2 linked regions of the Caenorhabditis elegans genome follow. The protein of the gene in region 1 purifies or fractionates together with the protein of each later gene. This does not show direct contact. Each region holds a gene or a part of one and is shown on either strand. Other genes may lie near its edges.

Evidence for each region. The genes of interacting proteins can lie anywhere in the genome.
Region 2: the proteins of F39H12.1 (region 1) and F16B12.7 fractionate together in Caenorhabditis elegans (co-fractionation; one large-scale study listed by BioGRID). This does not show direct contact.

Annotation. Positions count from the first base shown.
Region 1 is NC_003284.9:832,506-838,360, reverse strand, and holds F39H12.1 (Pericentrin), read right to left. Parts: upstream 3,584-5,855; 5' UTR 3,573-3,583; coding exon 3,377-3,572; intron 3,320-3,376; coding exon 3,247-3,319; intron 3,016-3,246; coding exon 2,955-3,015; intron 2,579-2,954; coding exon 2,314-2,578; intron 2,264-2,313; coding exon 2,115-2,263; intron 2,071-2,114; coding exon 1,843-2,070; intron 1,782-1,842; coding exon 1,626-1,781; intron 900-1,625; coding exon 789-899; intron 744-788; coding exon 690-743; 3' UTR 540-689; downstream 1-539. Other genes in the region: F39H12.3 (RIIa domain-containing protein), read left to right, coding at 1-55; wdr-54 (WD repeat-containing protein 54 beta-propeller domain-containing protein), read right to left, coding at 4,863-5,018, 5,073-5,201, 5,639-5,744, 5,786-5,855.
Region 2 is NC_003284.9:14,106,786-14,110,427, forward strand, and holds F16B12.7 (Protein kinase domain-containing protein), read left to right. Parts: upstream 1-1,759; coding exon 1,760-2,036; intron 2,037-2,078; coding exon 2,079-2,266; intron 2,267-2,437; coding exon 2,438-2,689; intron 2,690-2,740; coding exon 2,741-2,929; downstream 2,930-3,642. Other genes in the region: F16B12.6 (DUF7747 domain-containing protein), read left to right, coding at 1-481, 529-894.

The DNA of each region.
Region 1 (5,855 bases):
ATCTCCATCCAGAAGTCACTCTTCCCTTCAATCCGACCATTCTGATCACAACTAAAAAAACCATATTCGAAATTTTTTCACAGCGCAGACTTTCCAACGAATTCATGCCCAGAGATTAATATTATTTCTGTCTTCAAATTTTCTAACTTTTATTTTTCTAACTTCCTATCGTATACACTCGTCGTCATTATCTCTTAATAAATAAACCAACAAACAATGTTCATTTCATGATTTCACTATCAAAGTCTTATCCGAACAAATGAATAAAAAAAAAGACAACTGTTAGTGAGTTCTAAATTTTGTCAAGAAATATTTTTGGTGAATGTTTTTTTTTTCAAAATTTTTAAATTTCGGTACTTGTGTAATATACGTGGGCAACCTTTTTTCTTCATATTAAGCTAAAATGGAAATCAGTTTTCCGTTTGGATTAATTCAGCATTTTCAGAAGAAATGAATGGAAACCGTATTGGAATATACTGTTGGGCCAGGTTAACTACAAAAAACAAAAATTGTTATAGTTCTTTGGCTGAAAAGTAATTTTTAAGTAAACCCTTCATTCAATAACCAAAAAATTCAAATTGAAAGCCAAATCGGAATCAAAAACTAAAAAAAAGACATTTCGGATCAACTGAATATCACATATAAAATCTACATAATTAGTAATCAATTGAATAAACTTGTGAAAAATGCTATGTAGAACCCTTTTCATCTGATTGTGCAATATTGTCCGTGAGAGCCAACGCCTGAAAAGGGAAGTAAAATCTTGTTGTTTCGATGATCCAACTTACTTGTTGCTTCAAAATATCTTTCAATTCTTCGTTGTCCACGAGGATTTCATCAAGTTGCTCGATCTTTTCACCATGCATGATTAAGGTCTCATTGAGTTGTTCTTGCAGCCTCTAAAAAATTGGATTGCTGTTTGAAATTGGGGAAAAAAATTGGGATTTTCGGAAGTTCTTATCACTTGTAATCCTTTTCCTTCACCGTTTTTTTGTAGTTCACAGTGATGATTGAAAACACGCTTATTTTATTGAAAACATTCAAATTATTCTTGAACAAAATCTCAGCCTAAGTTATTCGTACAGTGTCGGCCCTGGAGCAATGAATCGAAGTTTAAAGAGATTTCACTTTACACAGTAAGAGCTTCGAGCGAAGCCTCAAACCTGAATAGTCAAGTTTTCTAAACATATACCCCACTCCTGAAATAATTTCAAAGAGATCTCGAATAACCCGTTAACAGGTTCGAGGCGAAGCCGAGAACCTGCGCCAGCTACCTTGCTAATAACTTAAAGCGAATTAACCCTATCCCCATTCCCGAAGGGCTGGCGGGCCCATATATCCGCTAGTCAATTAATCATATTCAAATATTTTCAGTGTTCAAACCTGCATTAATGCTCGAAATCATTCAAAAATTACACATCTTTGAATAATTTTGTCATTTTATAAAAACTTTAATTTAAAACTTTGAAACATCTAAACAAAATTTAAATATCGTAATAGGATCTTTTCTCGTGCTGGACTATTCAGCGTGTATTTAGATTAGATGGCGGTATTAACCTCCGAAATAATAATTAATCTAATATGCAAAAACCGATATTTGCCCAAACGATTTATTTTTATCTCACCTCAATTTCCGCTTTATCACTTCGTCTCTGCGCCAAAAGAAGTCTCTTTTCCATCTCTAATTGTTCAATTATCTGCAGAAGGTCGGTCACATTCCCGTTCTTGCCATTTGGAGAAGATGCGATTTCCTTTTCTTCTCTCTCCCACCGATGGCTTTCCTAAAACATTGATTTACGAGTACGGTTGTGCAAAAAATTGTCCATTAGAGCAAAAACTCACATCAATGTATACTGATTTAGTTTGTGTAGATTCATCATGTTTGACGACTTGATTCGTTTGCTCCCGAGACTTGTTTTCACAGTTACAGGGTAATTGTATAATCTTCGGTGATGAGGATTTCCTCTTCGCTTGATTCTCCAAGCTTCTTTTAATTTCTGCTCCAAAAGTTTCGAAATCACTGATAAATGTTTCTTCTGTTTTTTGTAGCGCACCTTTCATTTGTGAGATCTAAGACAATAGCCTAATTTTCAAAATTTTTTCAAAAAAAATACCTGGTTTCTAAAATATTGAAGTACATCTTGAGTTCTGTGCCACGAATCTGTGCTATTTTGGTACTTTTCCTCTAATTCAATTTTCTCCTTTGTTAATTGGGAGCAAGTATGTTTGAGATTTGAGATTTCTTGATGAAAGTGATCCCGTTCTGAAAAATTTAGTCATTGAATCTATATTTTCTAAAAAAGTATTTCTTACCTTCACTAAGCATGTTCACAACTTTTTCATTCACGGAAAATCTATTTTCCTCCATTTCTCTCTCAAGATTTGCATGGCTGTGTTGTAAGAATTGATTTGCTTTTTTGTACTCCGTTAGTTCCTTCCGCAATCCATAAATTGCTTGGTTGAGAATTTCTTCAGGATTTGGTAATGTTACTTCTGGCACAGCAACTGGAGCTGGAGCCGGTGCTGGAGCAGGTGTCAGAGCTGCAGCGGGGCTCACAACACTCGATATTGAGATATCCTGTAATTTTTAATAATATATGTATTGAAAAATGATAATTAGTATTGTACTTGATTACTAAGTTTTGCTGTTTACTAGTATATTGTTTGTTGAAAAACGTTCTACAAATTTCAAAACGGATTGGGATCCGATCTGATAAAGTTTGATGTTTTTCTAATCCCTGACTTGCTCTGAGACTTCGCCCCGAAACAAAATCATTATTCAAATCACAATCTAAAATTCCATCACTCTAAATTTAAATCTAGTTTCTGCCGCTTCACATCTTGTCTAGGATTTCCCTGATACCTTGTTCAAGATCAGATCATTGTCTTGTCTTAGCGAAAGTGACTTTCTGTGTGTTATGTATACTATGATGTCATTTAATGTAGCTACTCACCGTATCAAACTCCATTGGTATTATTCGTAATCGATCCGGTGACGCTGTCCGTGAAGATGCTCTGAAGTTATGTTTTCTTTTAGTCAGTAGATCTACCAGTAATGTCAGTGCAACTGTTAGTTTGGTCAGTGCAACTGTCTAGTTGGTCAGTGCAACTGTCAACTTGGTCAGTGCAACTGTCAAGTTGGTCAGTGCATAATCCAAGTTGGGTTAGTGCACTCATAATTATAGTCAATACATCCACAAATTTATCATTATGGTCAGATTATTGTTATGTTTACATAATTCTTACCTTGTTAAATGTTCAATGTCCGATGAAATAATTGTTTGAATATCATCTCCAATATATCGATTATTATGAAATGCTAGAAAACGGGAACTAATTATTAATATTTATTCATTTAAATTTAAGAAAAACTTACGCGGTAAAACAGGTTCCAACATAACAATATCGTCAGCTAATGGCTCGGACCCTTGTGACGGAGATGAGCATTCCTGCTCAGCATGAACTTCATCTGGCACATCAACTTCAACCTCGGCTGCTTCTGGCCTGATATCCAACACCTGATCAATTCGTTTTTGTGCTTGAAGTATTGCTTCTTTCCAATTAACATTCATTGTGCCTGAAACTGACTAAAAAGGTAAAATAGAACAGACAAAAGCTGGTAAATAAGAAGCGTGTTGTGTAAAGTTCTGACGGAAGGAGAAAAGATGAATCAGATAAGCAGTGACGGAATTTAGTGGAATCCACGTTTTATTGGGTTGAACAGAGGAAATGGAAGAGACACATTGTGTCGTGGAGAAACCTAGGCCAGGAGGTATTGGGATAACAAAATTGTTGTGTTGAATAAATATTAAAATATAAATATAACAATACAATTTTAAGATTTCAAAATTCAAATGAAAACTTTCTGATTAGGTATATTGAAAATTTTAACAAATCAACAGTTAAATAAATTTCAAGAAAATAAATTGGCATTGGAGTTTCGATATAAAAATACAGTCGAAATATAACTTCCCTTATTTTTCAAAATCAAATGTACTTATAAAATGCAAAAATTCTATAAAATCTTCATTTTCATGTTGCCAAAAAATAAATCAATAGCACTACGCGTCAAGAGGAACTAGAGAGAGAGTGGAGGGGCAGAATGTTGAACAGCTGTCCTAAACATAACTAGCTGACTGAGGAGGAACAATAAATTATGAATATTTATTTTTGTAGAAAAACGATAATATTCAATTTATTCAACTTGACAAAGCGAATAAGAACATAATCAAAAATTTTCAGGTTAAAAAATGTCAGTTTTGTCAGTTTTGGGAAAATAGGGTATAATTGTGTTTTAAAGGCTATTGCTGATAGTGAGAAATTATTTTTTAAGACGTTTCAACTTCTAGAAATGTATACCGTATTTCCTCTGTTAGTCTTGCATGCAAGACTAAATTTCAATTGGTCCGTAGGGGTGCCAGACTAACAGAGGAAATACGGGATTTCTAGTATTTGGAGTGTTTCATGAGTTAGAATCAATAAAACCTTCATTTTTACAGCAATATTTTGAAGCTAGTATACATTTTTTAGCAGAATCCTGTTTTGTTTAGAAAACACATAAAAGAATAACAAGTTCATTCATTTACTAATATTGATGGAATTCATTCAAAATGGAAAAAGAGAGAATGCACAGAGAATTCATAATCGAATGCCAGAATTTAAAAGAATAATACATTTTTGAGAAATTATATAATTATTATATTATTAGTCTTGCGAAGCAATGCTTTGACAACTCAGATCTTAGTTTTACAGATAAATCTTGCTAGCAAAATAGACTACATGGAGTGTAATGTTTTTTTGTTATTAAACATATTAAAAGCCAAATACAGATATATTAATTGAAGATACACAGTAAAATATAATTATGTAGCAGGTACAGCAGTTTTCTTGATAATCTTGTACATCACCAAGACGTTGCTATCAAATGCGGCAATTGCAATTGCACTCCCGCGTCCATTTGTGAATTGCGCTCCCATGATGACGTTGGACGGATCGCTGTCAGAGAAACGGTATTCAACCTGAAATTGAGTTTTTGTGTATACCTAAATGTTCTCGACTTTCTGTGAACTAACTTGATAAGCATGTGGTTTTCTTGTGTGAAGCTTCGAAACGATAAAAGTGCCATCCTCGGAAGAAGTCAAGACATATGCGCTTTCCGGTGCGACAGAAACACTATTCACTGGTCTTGAATGAGCATTTATCTGTGAGAAATTATTATAAGCAACATTTTCACAAGCATGAAAATAGAAAAAGTATCGAGAAGAAGCCCGAGTTTTCAGTCATGTTTCCATAAAGGGCTCTTCAAGCACTATGCACTGCATATCTGGGAGTCAGGTACACTGGCTGGTGGTAATCCCAATGGGCTACAATTTAGGCCACGTCCTAGCCGGAGACTGTGGTTGATAGTCTTGGATTACTTCACTTCCCAATAGAGGCTGGATGAACCTAGCGGGGCGAGTCCGGACTCGAACTTGTGACCTCCAGATTGCTAGCGGCCACCATTACCGATTTTTTTTAATTGCCTTGAGGATGACCCACAAGTGAATTTATTGTTTAATCAATCCCGATTGAGCTATCCCAAAGTTTTTCACCTGATTTTCTGTTAAGTTCCGATTCCCTCCCCCTCAACTATTCTTACCTCACACATAAGATCTCCCGTAGTTACCGAATAATACTGAACAATTCCTCTCAAAGTTCCCACGATCACCTGCTTTCTCAACACATTTATTACGTTGATGTGCTGCCTAAAATAAACATTTTACGTCAGAAACTTAGAGTATATTACTTTGTGATAACTCTCGAGTTCACCCCTTTTACGGGTTTTTGCCATATGATCAGTTCTCCGTTCGAATCGG
Region 2 (3,642 bases), about 13 Mb from region 1:
ACACGGTTTGATCATGTACAGCTACACTGAGCCCGGAGCTGTGCCACAGCCAATTCAGAAGACTATTCAACCTTCGACTGATGAATGGTTCAGCAGCCTTCCATCAAACATCAGAGAGGATGTGTTCCATTTGCTGAAAACTGCCCCAGTAAATGAAACAGCGAAGATAATTCATCAGGAACATGGAATTCATATTAGTCCAAATATGTTGTTCAGTCTCAAACGGCGAGAACTTTCTGGTTCTCATGCTGACAACGACACTTTTGTCACTGAATGGACCGGAGCTGATGGTGCAGGACCATCGACATCGGCTAAAACTGAGACTGTGGAAGAGGTGGTGATTGAAGAGCAAATTCCAAAAACAATCATGGGTCACGAAATGATGATTGGAGGAGACATGATTGTCGAGCACATTGAAGAAGTTGGAGACGTCTATGGGCAATCAATGATGAGAAGAAATCCATTTTTGGAGAAAAGCGTGGTTAGTGTTTGTATAATTGATTCGTTTTTTAAATTCTCAATTTTCAGACTACTGCTGGATTTGTTCGTGGATCTCAGCGATATGATGCTCTTTGGCGAATTGCGCAAAAACAGTTTGGTTCGGAGTGCATTGATGACACTTTTGACAGCTTGTTCCGACTATTATACGAAAAGAACGAGCAGCGCTTGCTCCAAATGATCAATGAGACATTCCACGTGGACATTTTCTCTGGCGACCAAGAGATTGTGGAGGAAGGTGTCGAATACATGCAAGAAGAACTTGTTGTGCATCCTGGTAATCATCTTGTCGGACACGAGGAACTGGGAAGACACGAGGAACACATTGAACATCCTGAAGTACAAGGCCATTTGGAACATGAAGTTATTGAAGCCCCAGAAGATCCTATGGTTTAAAATTATGATTAACTGGAACAGACATTGTTCGAAAAATCATATAACTGTAAATTAAATTGATCTTATAATATTGTTTTACCCTTTAAAATCCGTGTTATGTCATATCTATCTATTATTCCGTTTTACACCAAATGTTTTTTGCCACTATAGAATGACAAGGTGATCTTTTTTCTGTTCTCAGCAAATTGAAAATCAAACATAATACACTGACACAGATGAAGTTATAATAATGCATAGTAGTTTAAAAAAAGGTATTCGGCTGAATATCTGAATAACAACATTTTAATGTAAGGTGCAAAGCATGGATGTGCGGCAAATTTGCCAAACACGGTAAATTTCAAAAAAGTAGATTTGCCAAATTTTCCAAGCTCCGTAATTTTTTATGTTTGCCCCAGCTGCAAAGGAGCATACAACCCCCATGAAAACCAGTTATTGGTCTGTATTTTCACCCGAAACAGAAACATCTGAAAGGTAAAATTTGGTTAAGCAAATCCCTAATGTTTCAAGTCCGTTACTACAAACAACTCTGTGACCTAGATTCCAGGTTCTGTAAAAAATTTCAAACACGTCACTTTATGTGCAGGGTACTCACCGGTCTTCAATGATAGCCATTTATTTCAAAGAAATTGAAAAAAAGTCAAAAATTAAATCAAATGTATTTCACGCATTCACGTGAAATGTCAGTTTTGAAATAAATCATTTCTTAATTTTAAACTTACACTTTCCGCGGTTTTCTTCAAACTCTCCCTTTTCGATTTGTTTGAATTTCTCGGTTTTTCTATAGTAAATGTAATTTTTTTGAAATGTTTATTTTAGCTGAAAACCTAAGGGAAATTAGTTTACAATTACTGTATCACGTTTTCAGATGGTTGATTTGGTAGGAAAAGTTGTCAAAGAGTACTATGTAAGTTACTTAATTGGTGAAGGATCGTATGGAAGTATTGTTGCTGTAAACGATATGGAAGAACTGAACAAAGAAAAAGTAATTAAGCTTGTTAAATTTGTTCACGGGAGTCAACGAGAAAAATCATTCAAGACGGAGCTATCAGTTTTTCGCAAACTGGACTCTCTTGGTAATTCAAAAAGAAATGGATTTCCCCAATTTTGTGAGAATTTTCAAGTTGACGGATATTATGCAATTGGTGAGTTTCACCTTGTCCGATAACACTTAATATTTGTTTCAGTCTTAAGCGACGAAGGAGACAATCTTAATGACATTAGAAAAAGAAACAAAAATTTAGTTTTCAATCGTAAAAATGTCGCGACAGTTGGATGTGCAGTCTCCCGTTCCTTGAGTACTCTTCACTCCATTGGCTTTTTCCACGCTGATTTGCACGAACAAAATCTGATGGTTCCGGTTCCAATTGATAAGGTTATAATATAATTTTTTCAAACATTTTTATGTAGTATCCGTGCCGAAAAATCAATATTCCAATCAATTTTTGTTTCAATCAACAGTTTAATCAAAACGTGAGGTTAGAAGGCTTCGAAAATCATTTTTTTTCCATTTTTTTTTCAATTATCAACTTTCTATATTTTTCAGATTAATCCAATAAAGCTTATTGATTTCGGATTGAGCAAAAGATTCAAAACTCGAAAAAGGCGTAACTGCATCGATAAAACGTACAAGGTACTACTTGCTGATGAACGACGTTGTTCATTCAACATCGCTTGTGGCGGTGATTATCGAAAAAGCGACGACTTTGAGAGCTTATTTTATATTTTGCTTATCGATCTAGGATTAAGCTGCTACCGGGAAAACAAAGCACAGAGATTTCTGACTAAGCTTAAATTGGTTAGTTAAATTGCAAAATCTTCTATTGTTTTTTAAAATTACATTTCTCAGCACTTTGCCACTGAAACATTTCTCCAAAACTTGCCATGGATGACTATTGTATTCAAATCGATGCGTGCACAGAATGATGACGACTTTAACGCTGAAATCATGATAAAAGCGTTGAAAGAATCAGTTGAATTGTTAGAGGAGGAAACGTTGGACTACACAATTGATGATGGACTGATTAAGATTAACTGAACGCCGTGTATTGATCTTTTTTGTGTATTGAATAACCTACTTGTGAATAAACAAATGTGCTGAAGTATTCTTGTGTTTCAATTTTATCAGCAAAACATAAGTTTGAAAGATAATTGAACTGCTTCTCATTAAACGCCGTTTCCCCTTTATCATAGTTTTTTCAATTAATTTTAATACATATTCGAAAATTGTTTTGCAGTTTTTCCAATTTGTGTTTACGAGCATAATCTTTCGAACCAATACTTGATTTTTCAGCTGTCTAATTTTTTATCGAGTTTTATTGGCATAGTGGTTAGTATTTTTCAGTTGGTAGCGTTTTCAAATATCAAACTTTTTTGGTTTCTGTATTTATTCCACGAGTTCAGTATTTCTGATGCGTTGCGATTCAGGAGTTTTGAATGTGGAAACTGAAGCTAACATCTGTAGCAACGAAAAAATTCAAGACGCATTGGTTAAATAGAAAACCCGGCTCAACATTAGCAAATAAGACTGAAGTTTAATAATTTTGTCGGGTGTTACCCGTTTTCTTCTTATTTTTCATCAAAGGCAAGCTCTTTTGTCATTCTGACACGCCTAGACACTCTGATTTCCCGCTTAACAAGTTTCGCGCCTTGCGCTCTTGTTGGCGCATTTTCAGTGCCTTGGGCACTTGGCGATGATGCGAATCCATTAATTTGTCATCACTTCGCTCGGAGAACGAGTTGAGAAGGGGT